Linked DNA regions of Schizosaccharomyces pombe. The protein of the gene in region 2 binds, or shares a complex with, the protein of the main gene of each other region. Each region holds a gene or a part of one and is shown on either strand. Other genes may lie near its edges. The genes, in order: atg17, atg101 and atg1.

Region 1 (6,854 bases), 1.3 Mb from region 2:
TTTTGAATTGTCTCGTCCATAATTTTATTGGATTCAGCTCTTCTGTTCTCATAAATTTGAGTACCTGCAACCTCTTTTAAAAGTTCTAAACGCTCTGAATCCTTTGCATTGGTTAGGGATGTGACCCTTCCTTGAGGAACAATGTAGTAAGGATTGGATCTTGAAAACCCAGCAGACTCGAGAAGATTAATAACCTCTGTCTTGCTTACAGTTTTCTTATCCAAAGAGTATTCGTCTTTTTTCAATCCAATTGTACGACGCAAGACAACTTCGCTTTTACCGGTGGGAAATCGATTATCAGCATTAGCGAACGTAACTTCAACGTATGCGCTCATGACAGTTGCACCAGGGCCTTCATGCAGCAAAGCTTGTCTTTCTTCACGGCTTAAATGTGTATACGCATCACTTAATACGAATCGAATTGCAGCAAAAAAATTGCTTTTACCAGATCCATTTCGTCCCACAATTACATTGTGGTGAGGGCTTAAAGGCTCTATTACAGTATAATCTTTATAAGATTTAAACCCTTGAATAACAATCTTAATAAATCAGTTAACTGGGGTTCTATAATGCTTTACTTACTTTTGTGATATACATAGATTTGTGGTTGGTTTGGGTTAAAGTATTTACGCGTCGCGTGTCTTCTTTATGGCGTGTAAGTATCAATCTTTGTGGTAACAGAGTTCTAAGAATCTACAACATAATAATTCATTCATACTAACCAAGATGAGAAATTCTTTGAGTTGTTGATGTTGATTTTGTTATGTTTTTTCTATATGAAACTGTATTAACTGAAGATCGTTTGCTTTTCTCTTTACTGCCGCATCAATTTCCAAATATAATATTTCTTTATTAAACTACTGGGAATGCACAATCAAATTGGTAGAAAGCGCGCTAGCTTAATTGAGTATGTGATTTTTTAGATGCCAAGTATGCATTAGTGTTAAATAAGCAAGCTGCTCTTGAGCGTCAGCGTTTCAGTAATGAATTTAAAAAAATGCATATATGAGCTTATGTATTGTTTCTTTTCTATCTGACTTTTTATTGTCAAGCTTTAATGAGGAAAGCCGCTCACACTAACATTAAATGTCTTTTGGAAATGTAATATATATTTTATTGATCGAAGAATGGAAAAAATATAATCCACTAAATTAAAAAAAAAATCATTGGTTTGCAAAAATCATCTTGTAACTTATGGTAATCATAATTTGCTAACTTCTTACATTTTTATATACCAGTTTTATTTACAACAAAAAGTTTTTACTACCACCTACAAAATACAAAAACTTGGATTTGTATCCAGTTCTTTGTCAAATTTTTAAATAAATTATTCTTTTATTGATTTATTTAAAGTTTAAGATGGTTGAGGAGTTAAAAAACGATGCACAGACAAATGAAGAAGAATCAGAATATAGCGACTTTAGTGATGGCTCTGACAATGATTACTTTAGGGAAGACGATATAGACTGGAATCAAGCTTCTTCAAGTAAGTTCATATACTGAATAGCCAAAAGCACTTTGCATGAATTTTTGTTACCATTTTTCATGATCATTAATAACATTTTTACTAGATTATTCTGCTAGACAGGAAAATTTTGGGAATAATTCTTCTAAGATCAATTCAGTTAATGATCACGTTTCTACGCTTAGTCGTTATGTGAATAATATAAAATTAAATGACAGGTTTGAGGCAGAGGGTAAGTGTAATATAGTTTAACTGCTCATAGGTTTTAGAACTCGAGGTCTTTTGATCCTTCACACTTTTACATTTTCATGTTTAATAGTACTGACAAATAAAGACAAGTCATCTATCAAGGATAAAAGTGACCGCGCTACATCTGAACAAGTGCTGGATCCCCGTACTCGAATGATTTTATTAAAATTAATAAATAATGGAACTATATCAGAAATTAATGGTTGTATAAGCACGGGAAAGGAAGCAAATGTGTATCATGCAACAAACGAGGATGGTAAACATTTTGCTATAAAAATTTATAAGACTTCAATCTTAGTATTTAAGGATCGTGACCGCTATGTTTCTGGAGAATTTCGTTTTCGTCATGGGTATAACAAGCGCAATCCCCGAAAAATGGTACGCTTATGGGCTGAAAAAGAAATAAGAAACTTGAAGCGTGTGGCTGCTGCTGGTATTCCTTGCCCAGAGCCAATCTTATTGAAGCAGCACGTTTTGCTTATGTCGTTTCTGGGGGACAAGAAAGGATGGGCATACCCCAAGTTAAAGGATATAGATATGACGCCTGGTGAGGCTACTAAATTATATCAGCTTGTAGCACGGAATATGCGTATTTTGTTTCATGTTTGTCATCTCGTGCATGCTGACTTGTCAGAATATAATTTACTTTATCATAAAGGTAAAGTTTATTTTATTGATGTATCACAATCGGTTGAACATGACCACCCGCAGAGCATCGATTTTTTAAGAATGGATATTTTAAACATTTCTACATTCTTTAGGCGTTTGAATGCTGGTTGCTTATCTTTACCTCAATTATTTAAATTCATTACTGAAGAAGGAAGTTGTGAAAAGGAAGCCATGAAAACCCGGTTAAATGCAATTTATGAGGAAGAACCTACTACAGAAGAATACGAAGAGGAATTCTTAAAAACTTATGTTCCTCGGACTTTAGATGAGGTATACGACATTGATCGAGATACTGAAATCGTAAACGCCGGAGGTGTTAATAGCCTTGTATATAAGCACTTATTAAATACAGACTTTCAAAAATTGGATTTAAATGACACTACAAAAAATCAAAACGATCAAATCCTCCCAAATGAGACTTCGGAGAGCGATGATGATGCAAATTCTATAAGTAGTATGGAAAATGAAGAAGAACGGACTTCGGATTCAAAATCATCTGCAAAACAAGGTAAAGGAAACGGACGTGCAAAGGAGACACCGGAGGAGAAGAGGGCACGGAAAAAAAAAACCAAAGAAGATAAGGCTGAGAAAAGAAAATCCAAGATTCCGAAGTATGAGAAGAAGCGCAAACTAAAACAATCTGGAAGAAAAAAGTAATCAGGGGAAAAAATTACGGTTATTTTATATAATTATCTTTATTGGAAAAGTCTATACAATACTCATAAACTAGTAGCATAACTAAAATCATTATACGTTTATAGACTTTAAAAATCGTAAAATATGGCTAACAGGGTCATCGCTTAGAGGCTGTAGTAGAAGATTTTTCACGTTGCTTCGATTTCTTATCGTTTTTATCAGGAATTACCTTTACGTTTGGCAATTCTGTATATTGGTGCTCTATAATTTCAAAATGTAAAGGAGGATCTGTTACAGCTCCCCATAGAGTCTGGGGTAAATAATCACCATATTGATTGAAAAAATCGATACGACATTTCGCCTCCGCCTGTTGTTCCTTCTCCAGGCGTCCCACAAATTCGTCCACAATGGATCTTACACAATTTTCATAGGTTTGTCGTCTGTGAATTTCCTGAAGGAGAGCGGTATACGCTTTAGCAAAATGTGTGTAATGTCTTTCAAGCTGCACGAGTTCTTGAGCTAATTGCGGAATCTCCAGGCCGGTTTGCGCCCTCATTAACTCATGCGCGGCTTCATGCCTTTGATTAGTCAACTGGTTTTTGTTTAACTCCTCAGCCAAGGCTTCCAAAATCGATGTTGCCGAATCTACCTTTGACTTATAACTTTGAACTGCGTTGAAATAATGAATTGTTTGATCTAATCCACTCCTAAGTTCTGTCAATACCGAAGGAACATGATTAGAGTCTGATTGAAGCACTTCTTGGAGATCTTTCTTCTCCGCATCAGAAAGGGTGTCATAAATATTGAGAGCTTCGGAGCATTGATCGTAATGTTGAGCAACTTGCAAAAGCAAATCCGCAAGTTCTTCGGCAGTATCGTTATAAGCGGGAGGTAAGAAGTCTAATGAAACAGCTTCTAAACGTTTATGATAATTGGCACACAAATCTTCTTCCAGTAAACCCGCTAGCTTTTCGAAAGCATTCCAAACACCATCAGTTACGCCTCGGAGCCTGGTTTTCAAATCTTCTAATGCAGTATCATCTACAAATGCATAAAGATTGGTATATTCGCTTCCTAAGGCTGGATCTAATGTACAGTCACGAAGACGTTTAAGTGACGATTCCAATCGATCATGAAGGACGTTTAATTGATTAAATGTTGGATAATTTTGAACTAGATCTAATAACTGCTTAATAAGAGCTGTTGAAGAGTCTAAACGAGTACATTGAGATGCTGTGAGCTTCGCCAACTCTTTTAGCTGTTGATGCTGCTTTATGGAATTTCTCAAATCAGTTTTTGCATCTTCATTAAACTTATGTGCATCACCACACAGTTGCCTGGCTTGAGTAAGAGCTGCTTTGGCTTGCTGAGTCCACTGCTGCAACAATTCCATCACCGCACTCACGCGGTAAAACTGTATTCCTCTTGTATGCACTCCACTGGAAAAGAAACTATATAGATATATAAGGATAGATATATATTTATATATATATCGGCCAACAAACTTTTCAAAAGGACCTTTAATACAAAGGAATTGATTGTGAAGCAGAGTTGTATGCTTGCGGCGAAATTGAAATATAGCAAGTGAGCGCATGTAGCACATATTAATGAGAGCTTGCGAACTACAGCAAATAAATTGCACAATATTGCAGTTGTTTTTCGCTATTTTTCTTTATTTACATAAAGTTGACTGAAGCGATAATTATAATATAGTTAAAACCATAAACGAAAACTAAGAAGAAGAAATGTTTGTTAAGAGTACTATAGCTATGAATAGTAATGATTAAGCAGTAAATCTTTTCAGAATTATTGTGGTTCAAAAGTAAACAGACTATTATTTTTTAAGAGAAAATTTCAGATTAGCTGATCATATTAATGGCACTTCGATGTTTAGCGGAGCTACGAAAACATCTTTAAAATTCTGCAAGACAAAGCGCTGTTATTTGGACAATTGATATCTATTAGCCTTGAAGGAGAAAAAGGCTATAAAAATAATTTGTTATGAGATTTGTATAGTCAGACCTTTAAAAGCTGCTTTGATGATGATACAAATTATTTAAGTATGCTTTTATCAACTATTCAAATAACAATAATAGTGAACCTATGGAATTAAGGGAATTCCAGATGGGACCTTCTTTCGATATTGTTCGTAAGAATCACCAAAAAAACTAACTAAGTAAGCTTCTTCGGTAGTAATTCGCTGTGAGAAAAATTTCCAAAGAACTAGAGAAAATAGTAATGTTGAGACAAAATTTCCTAACAACATTTGAGTGCCCAAAGCCCAGATAAAAAACCCAACGTATGATGGGTGTCTAACGTAAGCATAAATCCCATCAGTGACAAGCAAATGATCTTTATTTCTTTTACTAGCTACAATGTGAGAAAAAGATTGACCGGCTTGTACCATTGCAGAGGATCGTAGATATTGTCCCAAACAAAGAAATCCCAGAGCAGATGTCTGATATACCGAAAATATAAAGTTGATTAAGAAGCTCGGAAATCTTAAGCAATTTATTACCTTAGCAAAACTTTTTCCGCCACTTAATAAGCATTCTAAAAGGCCGACTAACATCGCTAACCAGTAGGCTTTGCCATTATTCAATATGAAAGAATCCCATGATAACTGACTACCTTGAAAACGAGCAGTAATGTAAAACTCTAATAGATGAAAAAGACTCAGAAATGCAAAAAAACCTCCAATACTATATCCGTATATAATCCATACGAAAAATCCCAAACCAAAAACACAACCAAGAAAGGCGCTGGTTAAGCAAATAGATGCTACAGCTATTGACGTATGTAAATTCCCCATGATTGTATATTAAATTCAGGTATGTGAATTCAACTTTCTTTATTAAATTTATCGAGAAGAATTATTGAGTCAAAATGTCCTAACAAACTAACTCATACACATTTAGAGATGTTATAATTATTAATTATTGGAGGAAAGACACGAGAAGAAATAAAATTTATGCAAAGAGGGATATTCCTTGCTTTAGCCTGGTTTTCGAGTTATTAGGATATTTTCAAAATTTCCTGCTTAAAATTATAGTTGACACAATAGGGAAGTAAAACAAAGAAAATCATACTCATATTGTATTACTTAAGTTTTGACTTCTTTTCTTTGTATTGGCTCTAATAGTTGCTAAAAGTTGTATTATATTAATGTAGTAAACCTCGATATAACAAAGAATTCAAATACTCTGTCATTAATCAATTTGCAAGTTATGAATTATTAAAAAAGAACTCTTTCTCAGTTTTGTCTAAACATATCCGATTACAAACTGATATCAACTTGTTTTGCAAATAATGAGCCAAATACTGATGTCTAACTCACAAAGGAGAAGTCCCGGTGTATGAGTTGAACAGATAACTTCATATTATTCAAAAATTCAAAGAATAAATGCATATACTAGTTCTCTAAATTGCTAAAGAATTTGTTCCTAAATTCGTCAAATTTACAACAATCCAAAATTCTGTATTCATGAATCCAATACTTATCTATGTGACTTTGGTATTAATAATCAGTTTAAGGCAACTCGCGAACAGCATGGTTAAATGCCTGTGCAACATGCTCTACATTAGAATTGTTCAAACCAGCCATAGAAATACGACCATTTGCACTGAAATAAAGATGGTACCGCTCCTGGCAAAATTGGACTTGTGCAGGCGTTAAACCGGTAAAAGAAAACATTCCAATTTGTTGTGTAATATGATCCCAAGAACCGGGGGTTTTGAGTGCAACAAGAGAATCGCGAAGACGTTTCCTCATCTCAATGATTCTAGAAGACATAGTCTTTAAATCTTGTTCCCATTCAGCAAACAATTGAGGACT
Region 2 (4,967 bases):
TTCACTTTGATCTCTAAGTTCCCTCTGTTAACAAATTGGCATGATCGATTTCAGCCTGCTGATATCACTATTTACAGATCTTCCAATACTAACCATCTGCGTCATACATCACTAGCATTTTGGTGGTGAACTTGGTTACAGTTCGAAGTGCGTAGCGAGAAATGACGAAGTCAGTTATTGTCATAATTATGTATGAAGCTTGTTGGGGATTCCATTTACAAAGTGTATGTTTAGCGAATGTAAACACGGGTTACCAGTAGAAAAAAAAATTTTATGAAATTTCTTCAATAATGGTTTTTTTATCTCCATTCTATTTCATTAGAAATTTTTTTTTTTGCTTTATTTCCATTCTTTGTTTTTATTTTTTTTTTTATTTTCAATATTACTATAAATTCTCATTTTATAAAAATAGATTTTGCAACAGTAAAACTTGGACCGAGTTGATGATGTCTACACTTGTAGTATGGCTTTTTAAAAAAAAAAAAAAAAAAAGATAATAATTATCATCCTTACTTCCTCGAAAGTATAGATAAATCTTTGCGTTCACATTCAGTGTATAATCTAATGTTTACCTCTGTGATTCTTATTTAACTTGTAAACCTTGGTACGGGCATATTATCTCGCTCGTTTCCTGAATGTCTGAGTTTAAATGATAGATATCCGATTTCTGCTTTATTTTTATTTTTATTCTTGCATTCAGTTAAATAAATTAATTTTATTATTTGGTAGTTTTCATAAACTTTTGGCAAACAAATACACACTCCAATAAATATACTCACTCTCTGTAGCGTAAGGAGTACTCACCTTATCTGACTATCTGATGCTATTTTCATATGAAAATTGAGGTCAGACGGTAAATAGCATTTTCCATTCTTCTTATCCCTTCTTTTTTTTTTTTTTTTTTTTACTTAACACCAACTTCGTGATGTCGTGATCCATCATCCATTTATCCTTCCGTAACCTCAGTCAATTTATCATCGTCATCGTATAGCTACACCCGCTGGTCATTTTACTAGCGAAAAAACAACATTTTGTTACGTAAATTACATATACACTTTCTCCACTAAATGAATCATCAAGTTCATCACGATGGTGTATCGTCCCACTGCTCATGAGTTTGACGACTTACCGAAAATCGAGTTCATAGATTCATGCCCATACCAGGTATTCCTTGAGCAGTATCTAAAACCTTGCGTTCCCGTACTTATTGGACCGAAGCTTACTGCTCAATGGAAAGCAAATACTACGTGGATAACTAGTAAGGGTGATCCTAATATCCTGCATAGTTACATTCTACCTGACAAACCTTGTACTTCTAGAGACAACACTAGTGGGAATTCACTACTAAACGACAATGATATAAAGAATTTCATTAGGTCATATGCAGAAAGGATTGTGAATAATGAGGATAAAAATGTGTTTTTGGATTCGTTATTGTTATCGCCAAACTATGAATACTTAGAAGAAAATTACGGAACGATTCCTGTACCATTGGCTTATTGCAATGAAAAAGATCGTTATGGATCTCAACGTCGTGAAACAGTTCCCTTGAAGAGTGCACTTCATGAACTTCGCGATGAACAGGTCCAACTACAATGCCGGCAGGCTCCAAGTAATCAGGCTTTGAAATCCTTATATGCCAAGGATATGCACTTGTTTCGACATCTAGACCCTGCCGATTTTCCTTACAGTACTCCGGACATTTTCGCCGACGACTGGTTAAATGCATACGTGATTGATTGTGAATCCGATGATTTCCGTTTCGCATATTTAGGTAGTCATTTAACGACTACTGGCCTACACACCGATGTCTATGCTAGCCACTCCTTCTCTGTTAATCTCTGCGGTGTGAAATGCTGGCTTTTTATCGATCCCAAAGACCTTCAAACGATTGCCTCCCTTTATGATGACCAGCAATTACCTTCATGGATCACAAAAGATGATTTATTTAGAGGTCCACTTGTAAATCATCGACATTTGATAAAAATTCTCTTCCAATATCCTGGACAAACAGTGTTTGTTCCAAGTGGTTGGTATCATCAGGTTTTAAATATTGGAACTACACTCTCTATCAACCATAATTGGTGTAATGCATCTTGCATTTTACAAATGTACACCGCATTAAAAGAGCAGTATGAAGTTTCCGCAGAGTCTCTCAAGGATTTGCTGGAGGATGGAATCGTAACAAAGGACAGATTTTCTCAGGTTGTTACAGAAGTGGTGGAAGCAAACTACGGTTGGTGTTGGCGTCGATTTTGGGGTATGATCAAACATCAGCTCAAACGAAGGGATGCAATATTACATAGTTCTGAATACTTCTCAAAATGGCCCATACAACCTGAGTTTCTTCCTCCATTATCATGGGAGTATTCAATTTTAAAAAATATTTTACTAAATGATGAGCCCGGCAGCACCTTCGATTCTGGTTCTCCTCCTTCATCGATTGTCACGATCTTTAAATCTCTCGGTGATTTTAAAGAATAGTACTACTCATCTAAACTCCTTTTAAAATGATGTTTTTTTCATTCTGCGTCTGCTTTCTTCAATTTTGCTTACGTCTTTGTATCATTCTCATGCAATGGTTTCCCCAGACAAATACCATCCATATAATTAGTTTACCAGTAATATAGATAGATTTAGATATGTAAAATAAAAATTAAAAAAATTACTTTAGTAAACAATATCCGAGAGATGTTGCTTAAGTTATAAATTTATAATTGATGTATGCTGTAAAAACTCTTAAGACACTGGTGTTTACTTTAATATACTAAAAAAAATTATTTAAAAAAATCACTATTGATAGTTCAGGTTAAAATGTTGATTTTCTTTAGAGCCAGGTCTTCGGAAGTCCCTTCTTGCATTTTGAACTCACATGTGTTAGTAGGAAAATAAACATTTACAATTATCTATCGTCATATATAATTCTTACAATTAATCGTTTTCTAGTTTCAAATACTAAAAATATTTAAATTCACAGACTAATTGGATAATTAGATGTTTAAAAAAATGTGGACGCTTTGCAATGTACAATGCAGAAAGTGTTTATTTACATTGAGATTCAGAACGAGTAACACGTTACCTAAAAAAATTGGAGGACCCTATATATGCACGAACGTAATGTATTTCACTTGATTGACCAAGTTCAAAGTTCAATGCAAGTATCTTAGTTTGCATTCCTCAATTTTACTCTTCCAAAATTTTAGAGATTAAATGACAAACACGGTGACAATTGAACTGAAAATTGGTTATAAGTATGCTGCTGAGGTTGTAAAAGGTAAGTCAAATTAGTTGCTGGAAATATTACATATCAAAGTCTAATCCTTTAGCCGTTTTAGGTGTAATTCTATTTCATAGACAGTTTTCTACTGTTCCTGCTAGGACAATTGACGTTTTAGACATTACGGTTCCTACTCTGGTTGGTGCAGAACTAAATGAACAACTAGCAACTAAAGCGGCGGAATTTATTGATACCATTCGAAATGAGGCTGGTGCAAATGGTCAGATGATTTTACTGTTGTATGAAAGATCGCCTAAAAAGTCTTGGTTTGGGAAGGGAAATACAATTCCTTGGGAACAATGGATCTTGCACACTACCATTTTAGAAGAGGGTGACTCTTATCAAGAATCTTCTTTATCTCTAGAGGCAGCAGTTGAGCAAATTGTGCAAGCAGTTAACCTTCGAAGCCTTTCATACCTGCCCCCAGTTGCTATGGATTCCGGGAATTACCCGTATGAAATTGTAACTCCTACTTCAACAGAAGGTTGGGGCTCACTGCTGAAGCGAATGATTATAGAAAACGTTAGTGGAGGTGATTAAATCAAATCTCACCAGGTTTGTACTTCAAACTTGATTTCTCATTCAGCATTTAAAATTCTTCATTCACCATACATCTATACGGTTTGGCGACGCAAAGCTCCATATGTTAACATGTTGCTGGAGAATTATGTATCGATGGTATATTTACATGCTACTTGTAATCCTTTCGCAATTGATTATTTTGGACTAATGAAACTTGCATGCGTTAATATAGTACATTCGCGCATGGGTTATAAGAAAGTTGGATTTAGGACGGATGCTGTGCCATTTATATCATGACTTTAATTGACAGCCATAATTTTTGAAATTAGCGTTTGTACTTTCCAAAGTTGTTTTAACAAAATGACCGGCGCATTCTTAATCGACTTTTAGCTTACCGAGATTTAACGTGTGAATATTTTTTAAATTTACTCATTTCTTTTTACATTTCGAAATTTACTATGTCAAAATGCTTGCAGCAGCTTAAACGACAACTTCAGCATTTCGGCATAGATGGATGCTCATTAGCAGATGGTGACATCGATTATTTTTTCACAGTTACCGGTATTGATCGTGGATGGGGCTGTGGTTGGCGCAATATACAGATGTTAATTTCCTGGCTTCAATACACCAATCCAAATTGGTTTAAACGTAATTTTAGTAGTGGAAATTATGAAATCAATTCTTTGCAATCGTTGTTGCTCAGCGCTTGGATGAAAGGTATAGATGCCGAAGGTTATGCTCAATTAGGAGACAACTTGCATGGTAAATGGATTGGTGCTACTGAGGTTTATAGCCTATTTACCGGGTTGTTTGTCAACGTCGCTTTAGTAGACTTTGATTTCAGATCTGAAGCTTCTGCTAGCAATGCACTTTTTCTTTACGTTAAAAAACATTTTGAAAGTTCTAATGATACAAGCAATGTTTCTCCATGTTATTTACAATTTCAAGGGCATTCTATCATTATCATTGGGTTCTGTTCTTCTTTAGAAACTCTTGTTGTGCTTGATCCAGATCGTTATCAGAGTGTTCAAAAAAAGTTTGTGAATATTGCGGACTTTAATCACTGTTATATGCGAAAAAAGCGATCTTTGAAATTCTCACAATTTCAATTGGTACATTTTAAGCAAAACATTTTTTTAAATGATTTCAGTTCAAAACTGGAAGTTCG
Region 3 (7,239 bases), on a different chromosome or scaffold from region 2:
CTATTCACTATATAGTAAATATGAATATAAGTTTAACTGTTATGATTAAGCAGCAGATCAAATCTGAATAAATGAATACTATACGTGTTCTCTAAGATTTCTATTGAAATGCGGAAAAGATCATCCTTAGTCAGTAGCAAGCCGATTGTGGTTGTAAACAAGACTAGCAATGCGCTGGTAAAGATATATCACCTTTCTTAATAAGCTAGCCTGTAATTTTTTTTTTTATTAAATATATAATCGCTTCTTTTCATCCACTGTTAGCATATTTCAAGTTATATAACATTATCTTAATAAAAAAAATAAATTACGAGACATGGCATTTTTTGCCATCCAATATGCTAAAAATTATAACGAACGATAATCTATCGCTAATTATGATTCAAGGTTGGTTAGGAAATTCACATTTTCAAACGAAGCATTTTCGGTGGGCTTTTTGAGGAAATTACATGGAAAAAGGTCGGGGCTACATTATATTATACATATAATTTGTTATGAAAGGATGGCCAAGTCAAGGTTTGAATATGTGAAGCAATACGAAAGATTGGATCGTTTACTACCTGAGACTTATATCGTAATACGAATTGATGGCAAAGGATTCCATAAGTTCACAAAGAAACATGATTTTGAGAAGCCAAATGATTTGAGATGTCTAAATTTAATGAATGCAGCAGCTCGCGTAGTCATGTCTGAGTTCACCGACATCGTTTTAGCTTATGGTGATAGTGATGAGTATAGGTATGCATGAAAACAGAATAATAAGCTCATGAATCGAATAAACTAACCTTTCTGCTTGAAGTTTTGTTTGGTCTAAGAGTACCGAATTGTATGAACGGCGCGAGAGTAAGCTTGTTAGCCATGTCTGCTCTTTATTTACATCTGCTTTTGTCTTCAATTGGCCTAAACATTTTGACATTCCACTACTTTCACTCCCTTCATTTGATGGACGAGCTGTACTTTATCCTAATATGAAAGTATTAAGAGATTATTTGCATTGGCGACAAGTAGACTGTCATATTAATAACCTTTACAATACTACCTTCTGGATGTTAATACTCAAAGGAGGTTTCACAAACACTCAAGCCGAGGAGTACCTAAAGGTAAGTAGCTCATTTTTTTTTATGTAAACCCTAGCGATTTATCTTCCTTTCAATAAAAACTAACCACTTTCACCTTTTGGGTGAATTACTTTACAGGGTACCGTCAGCGCAGAAAAACATGAAATTTTGTTCTCAAAATTCGGCATCAACTATAATTTTGAACCAGAGATATACAAAAAGGGCTCGATTTGGATTCGTGAGGTATGCTCGACAAACTTTGTTTAAATTAATTTTTGCTTACTTATTTAATTTAGCCTATTGATCAAGAATGGCATCAACAAGACAAAAAGTTCTCCGTAAAACAAAAGAAGAAAATGGTTTTATCTATCCTTCACGTAAGTCTGATAGACGATGACTTTTGGACTTCAAGGCCATTTCTTGAGGTATTGTTACAATAATTTCCTTTCACACATTTGTAAATTATGGGTCGTTTGAACAAAAACATTATCACTCGTTTAATTGTTTCTCTCATGCAGTCATCAGCTCTAGGCCGTATAAAACAAATCTTTGTTTTGGAAATCAAAAAAGTACTAGATTCTTGCCTTGATACGTTAAATAGCTGTTTTACTTGTTTGAAAAATTTAAGAGAAAAAAAATAATATGCACGAAATTTGAATAGAGATAAACCTCAATAAATAAGAGTTAAATATACGGGACTATCAACCCTATGTATAAAAAAAGCAAAATTAAAAACGTCTATATTAAAAAGTTATATAAATAATATGGTCATAACAACGAATTCATAACAAAATTTAGACTCAGAGCTCAGCTCATACAATATGCGAATTTGTTCAATAAAAGGGCGAAATCGTCGGTGTTCAAGCAAGATTGGGGGCAAGTGTTATTTTCGCAACACTTTCTGTTACTTTGTTGGCTACATTAGCCTGGATTTGTTTCGATTGTAAAAGTTCTTGCCTTTTCGTTATCAAAGCAATCAAATTTCTTATGGTTACTGAATTATTGGAATCGTTAGCACCGTCTGGAGTCGAAAAATTACTCTCAAGAAGTGACTCCAACAAATGTGCTGCAAGCCGGTAATTTTGTAAACAAGCCTGTGCATCATTTCCTGACAGTTCACTAGTGGCTGCATTTCTGGATAGGTCCAATGCTCTATGATAAATTAATTGAGAAGCTGACACAGGTTTGGTAGTTGGCAAAGAATGTGCGGCACTTTGAGAAATAATAATTTCACGTAAAAATTGGGATTTCTCAAGACTTTCTGAATACCTTTGACGAAACCATTCAATGGCTTGTTGGCAATCAGGAGATGCACGTTCTTCAGAGTTGGCCCAAAAAGCAGCAACACCGTCAAACGCCACTTGTAACAGCTCAATGTCTCTCTCATAAAGTACATACGATTCCTTGGCTAACATAACCAATGAAAAAGGAGTCAAAGGTCTATCCAAGAGTGTATCTCCAGGCTTCATTTCATCAGACAAAGAAGGAATAATTTGAGCAAGCTTCACTTCAGCCAGATGGTAGACAGAGTTTGATTTCATCGCTATACTTTCTAAAACATCAAGCAATCTTTTACCGGTGTCAGGTAAGGAAGGTTGGATAATGTTGACATTGTTATCCAAATTGCTTTCTTTTGTAGGAAGGGATGTGTTTCCATTATCTGTCATACCATCCACTACAACTTCATTAAGCCTAGCGTTTGCAACATTTAGTGCTCGTTCTAGAGCGCTTTTATTTCGCGCACCACCTCCAGATTGAGGTACATGTGCTGTAGCTTGCTCAAACGCACGACGTAGTTGAGTGACTGGGGTTGAAGCAATGTAGGTAGGATTAGAAGGGAAAGCATTGGGTTTCATGTAAGGGATTTGCATCCGGCTAGTATGGGGAAACGCATGATTATTTACAGGAGCGCTTTCAGGAGAGAAACTACCTTGAAAAACACCTTCGTTTGGTGAAGGCGAGTTACCATTGATTGATTGCTCGTGGGTTAGGCTTTCATTGGAAAGTTGGGTAGAAGAGATTATGGGATGATGGTCCACTACGACATAGGCGCTACTTTTGTTCGAAGTATCACTTGTCAACTTAGCAGGAGATGCCATGGGTATAGGTTGCTTAGAGGTTAATCGAGGAGGGAAAATGCTAGCAGCAGGAGCACTTTCAGGAGGAAACACGGGGGTGTATGGTAAAGTGTTTCCATCTTGTGCATAGCGATGAGGCACCCTTCGACCGGTAATTTCAGAGGGCTGAATACTAGACCCCTGAGCTTGGAAAGCTTGACGCAACAAACCGCCTGGAGGAGCAGGAGCGCCAGGATTACTTTTTGGGAAAAAATCGGTTATGTAGGCAGGACTAGAAGATGGAATGTTTATTTCCTTAACCGCATCTTGAATATCGCTACCGGTCAAAGTAGATGCGTCATCTAATGGAGTAGTGACAACAATACTGGAAAAGAAACCGTCGTAGTCGATACGATCAGCCGGATTTTGCTTCAGCAAAGCACAGATAAGGGTTTTAATGTCCGGGTGAATGAAAGCTTCTTCAGGAAACTTGATGACATCTTTAGCTTTTTGAATCCTCCTAAGAAGTTCGACATGATTTGGGGCCTTGAAGGGAGGCTTTCCAACAGCCATTTCGTATAACACAGCACCTACTGACCACAAATCGGCTTTAGCATCATATTTCTCGTAACGAAGTATTTCGGGCGCCATATACAACGGAGAGCCACATAGAGTTTCCGCCATACTAGACGTTTGAAGGTAACGTGCAAAACCAAAGTCTGCTAATTTAAGCATTGGTAGCTTGGGACTTCCCACAAACTGGGGATGCTCTTCCAGATAGGCAGCGGTGGGTGGTGGTTGTAAAAGAAGATTTTGGGGTTTGACATCTCGATGAATTAAAGAACGCGATCGTAAAAATTGGAGTGCAGAAGCAAGTTGTTGGGTAAAATGCCGAACCAACGTCTCATTCAATCCAGCCTTGTAAACTGGCGGATGATCGATGTTGATCCAGGCTAAGGAGGGAATACTGTTAAACTTTTCTCGCTTTCGAATAAAATAACTCAAATCTCCTAGGGAGCAATACTCCATGACCAGGTGAATGAACCGCCCAGCCTTAATACAGTCTATCAGTTCCACAACATGCACATGACGGATCTCTTTAAGGATTGAAATTTCACTTTCTAAATTCTCCAAAAGTTTCTTAGTAAGCTTCTTTGTCAATACGCTTTTAATAGAGATCACTCGATTCGTTTCCTGCAACACGATTAGCCACCAAATTCCATTGAAACAGACAAGCAGTTGCTTCTTTTACTTACCGTGTGCTTTCCTTTATACACAATTGCGAAAGATCCACGTCCAATTTCCGATCGAATGACATAGGGACCAATTGTTTGATTTGTACTCGTCTGTAAGTTCATACAGCTTCTGGTTCACGATAAGACAGGTGTAAGGGTTTTAGCTGCCTTTATACTCACTTTGATAGCATGGGAGTTGGCAAGGATAGCGGGTCGCCATTGATAATATAGCTGCGTAAAAGGCACTTTCCGCACTGGGCTTTAATACCTTAAAATAAATTGCGATCGTGGTGCGGCTGTAAAAGGTAACAGGAGATATGGTTTCGGGATAACAAGTTTTATGGGAGTAAGCACTATGAATAGAATGCGAGTTTATAGAGGAAATTGTATTAACTCAATGAATTATAATATTTTACACACATATACCTGCTGGTAGTGTCTAAATTCTTTGAAATTGTTCCCTTTTTGTGCAGCTGAAAAATGCCGAAAGTGGGTTAAGACGAAATAAATGTGTTAATTTTTGCCATGTCAGTTACCGATTTGAGTACGGAAAGCAAGTGTGTGTGGAATTAGAGGATAAGAACGGAAGTAGATAATACTCCAGACGAAGCGTAGATACCCGCGAAAAGGCAAATTAGTTGGAAAAGGCGATTGTCATGGATAGAGTGATCGAGGCAGATGAAAATGCAAGTGTAAATAGAGGGTAAATTTGGATAAAAAACCGGCGGCAGATGTACAACTTGTACCACTGTACCAGTTTCATGCCATATAGAAATAATATAAAAAAAAAAAGTAAACTGGATTTAAAAGACAAAAAAAAAAGAAAAGAAGGAGCCTACAGCACCCCGGATTCCCATGTTGTCTCCAACCATAGTACTAACGAGGCCCTCAGACGCTTAACTGCAGTGATCGGACGGGAACTGGTGTTTTCGCCTAGGTATGGCCGTAGACATTTGTTGTGTTAAATAATAATATTTATGGTTGAAGAAAAGAATATCATTTTTTTTATGCAGTGTGAGTTTTGGCTCAAACGCATGTATATAATACTACAAAACAGGGAATTGGGCAATGACTAGTATTCAAACATGCCCTGAGGACTTGAAGACCATAATGGAAGGTAAGAACTCTCTTGCAGAAAATTAAAAGAAAATTTCCAATCATAATATGTTGCTTTTCTCTTTATTGATATATACGAGATTGGTTGTGGAATCCAAATTTCTAAAACAGACTTTAAAGTCAACATTAGCGAAAACGCTACTGAAAACAAGCAACGTTATAAAAAATTCACCTTCTCACCATGAATAGTTTAATTTTGTATTTGCGTGATAATAAAATAAATAAATTAATTCGAGAATATAAAATAAAAAAAGTTTTGAAACTGAATATAAGTGCTTGTTGCCAATAATACTGCAATGAAGTTTGAAACAAAAAATAAAAAAAAATAAAGTAAAAATAATAAGTTAATCAAAATTTTGATTTTGTAGCAATAAATAAATTAATGAATTTTTTTTTAATCTATTATTTTCTAGGAAATTTGGAAAATTAATAAATGGAATTAAAATGCTTATGCTCCGAGTCGTACACTGTTTAATTAATTTTAAGCAAGCAAAAATAATATACTGTTCGTTTCGAAGCAACCTATTCTACTTAAAATTGTGCCACGATATCCGCTCAGATACTCGTTGTTATACATTTCTCAATAAATGAATATTTTGATCTTCCTAAATATGCGAACTGTAATAGTCAATTACCTTTAAATATATGACTGATTGAATAGCAAAACTATATATACATATATTTTGTAATATCATTTTTACCGAAATTTATAGTCCGTTTTAGTTTTATTCGTTTCATAGTCACATCTGCCATCTTTTTTTTGCTCACGTTGGTTTTTTGTAAACAGTATTCTCAGTGGATGCTGTTGTTAAGGTGATTATGATTTAATGATAGGCCTGGCAATACGTAAAATTTTTCTTTTTATTTTATTAAAGGAAATCTATTTACGTCGAATTAGTAACAAAGAGAATATGCAAAGAATTACATCTTTGGTTTATTTTTTCATATATAAGCACATATATGTATTTTTCTTTTGTTTGTCATTTGCAAAGCATCAGAGTTATGAGATATTTTACTTTGATGTTGCAAAATATTTTATGGAATTAAACATTCTTAATCCAAGGCTTGATACAATACCCACATGTACATTGGAAGTATGAGATTGTCATTCTCCGTTGAGACACCTTCCAAAATGGCCGTACATAAGGACATAAACAGCGTTTTCCAAAACGTTACTGAAGGACACACATGAAAAGCTTGCGTCAAGTGTAAAACGAGAAACACTGAGATTGAAAAGGCAAATACCCCCTCAATACTTTTATTCGTTTTTGAGATCCTATGTTTTCCGAACCTTTTCCCAATTATGCTAGCCATAGAATCTCCACACCCTAAACATAAAACACCAACCAGTAATTCAACCGACGCAACAGGACCTTTTAAAGCATTCGAAAGCCAAATAGGAATTGCACAACCAATTAAAAGATATATATGGGAAATAATCAAGGGGCCCTTGTGATCCCTGTTATCGGTATACTCCCATAAAAATTCATGGATCATTTTTCCAAATGGCTTAAGACGAAGTATGCGTATACCTTCAACAAACAGAAATATGAATAAAACTCCCGAAAAAGACAGGTGGAGAAAATGAGGATCTAAGCAACAAACCGGAAGAAATAAAAAGACAACCAAAGCATGATATGTCTTTCTACGAAAGTTCAGCACTTCATCTTCAGTGGTAAAGTATTTGCCAAGTGGATTATTACGGTTGCTTCGCAGAAGAATAAAAATAAAACAACCAAGGCAAATTATCCACCAAATAATTATTTTAATCCT

Evidence for each region.
Region 1: atg101 (region 2) and atg17 share a complex: the UniProt entries of both Schizosaccharomyces pombe proteins name them as parts of the atg1 kinase complex.
Region 3: atg101 (region 2) and atg1 share a complex: the UniProt entries of both Schizosaccharomyces pombe proteins name them as parts of the atg1 kinase complex.

Annotation. Positions count from the first base shown.
Region 1 is NC_003424.3:1,224,240-1,231,093, forward strand, and holds atg17 (autophagy-associated protein kinase activator Atg17), read right to left. Parts: upstream 4,583-6,854; 5' UTR 4,413-4,582; coding exon 3,177-4,412; 3' UTR 3,041-3,176; downstream 1-3,040. Other genes in the region: psm3 (mitotic/meiotic cohesin complex ATPase subunit Psm3/Smc3), read right to left, coding at 1-539, 583-597; rio1 (RIO family protein kinase), read left to right, coding at 1,360-1,486, 1,572-1,697, 1,800-3,040; protein-S isoprenylcysteine O-methyltransferase Mam4, read right to left, coding at 5,121-5,831; caa1 (aspartate aminotransferase), read right to left, coding at 6,549-6,854. UniProt on the Schizosaccharomyces pombe protein: Autophagy-specific protein that functions in response to autophagy-inducing signals as a scaffold to recruit other ATG proteins to organize preautophagosomal structure (PAS) formation.
Region 2 is NC_003424.3:2,524,828-2,529,794, forward strand, and holds atg101 (protein Atg101), read left to right. Parts: upstream 1-3,130; 5' UTR 3,131-3,210; coding exon 3,211-3,274; exon of another isoform or gene 3,275-3,326; coding exon 3,327-3,817; downstream 3,818-4,967. Other genes in the region: histone demethylase Jmj1, read left to right, coding at 1,090-2,484; mug105 (ubiquitin-fold modifier-specific protease), read left to right, coding at 4,258-4,967. UniProt on the Schizosaccharomyces pombe protein: Autophagy factor required for autophagosome formation. Component of the atg1 kinase complex in which it stabilizes atg13. Is also responsible for recruiting downstream factors to the autophagosome-formation site. Has a role in meiosis and sporulation.
Region 3 is NC_003421.2:848,132-855,370, forward strand, and holds atg1 (autophagy serine/threonine protein kinase Atg1), read right to left. Parts: upstream 4,552-7,239; 5' UTR 4,474-4,551; coding exon 4,372-4,473; intron 4,310-4,371; coding exon 1,919-4,309; 3' UTR 1,702-1,918; downstream 1-1,701. Other genes in the region: thg1 (tRNA guanylyltransferase), read left to right, coding at 503-738, 800-1,100, 1,197-1,301, 1,355-1,498; dolichol kinase Sec59, read right to left, coding at 6,520-7,239. UniProt on the Schizosaccharomyces pombe protein: Serine/threonine protein kinase involved in the cytoplasm to vacuole transport (Cvt) and found to be essential in autophagy, where it is required for the formation of autophagosomes.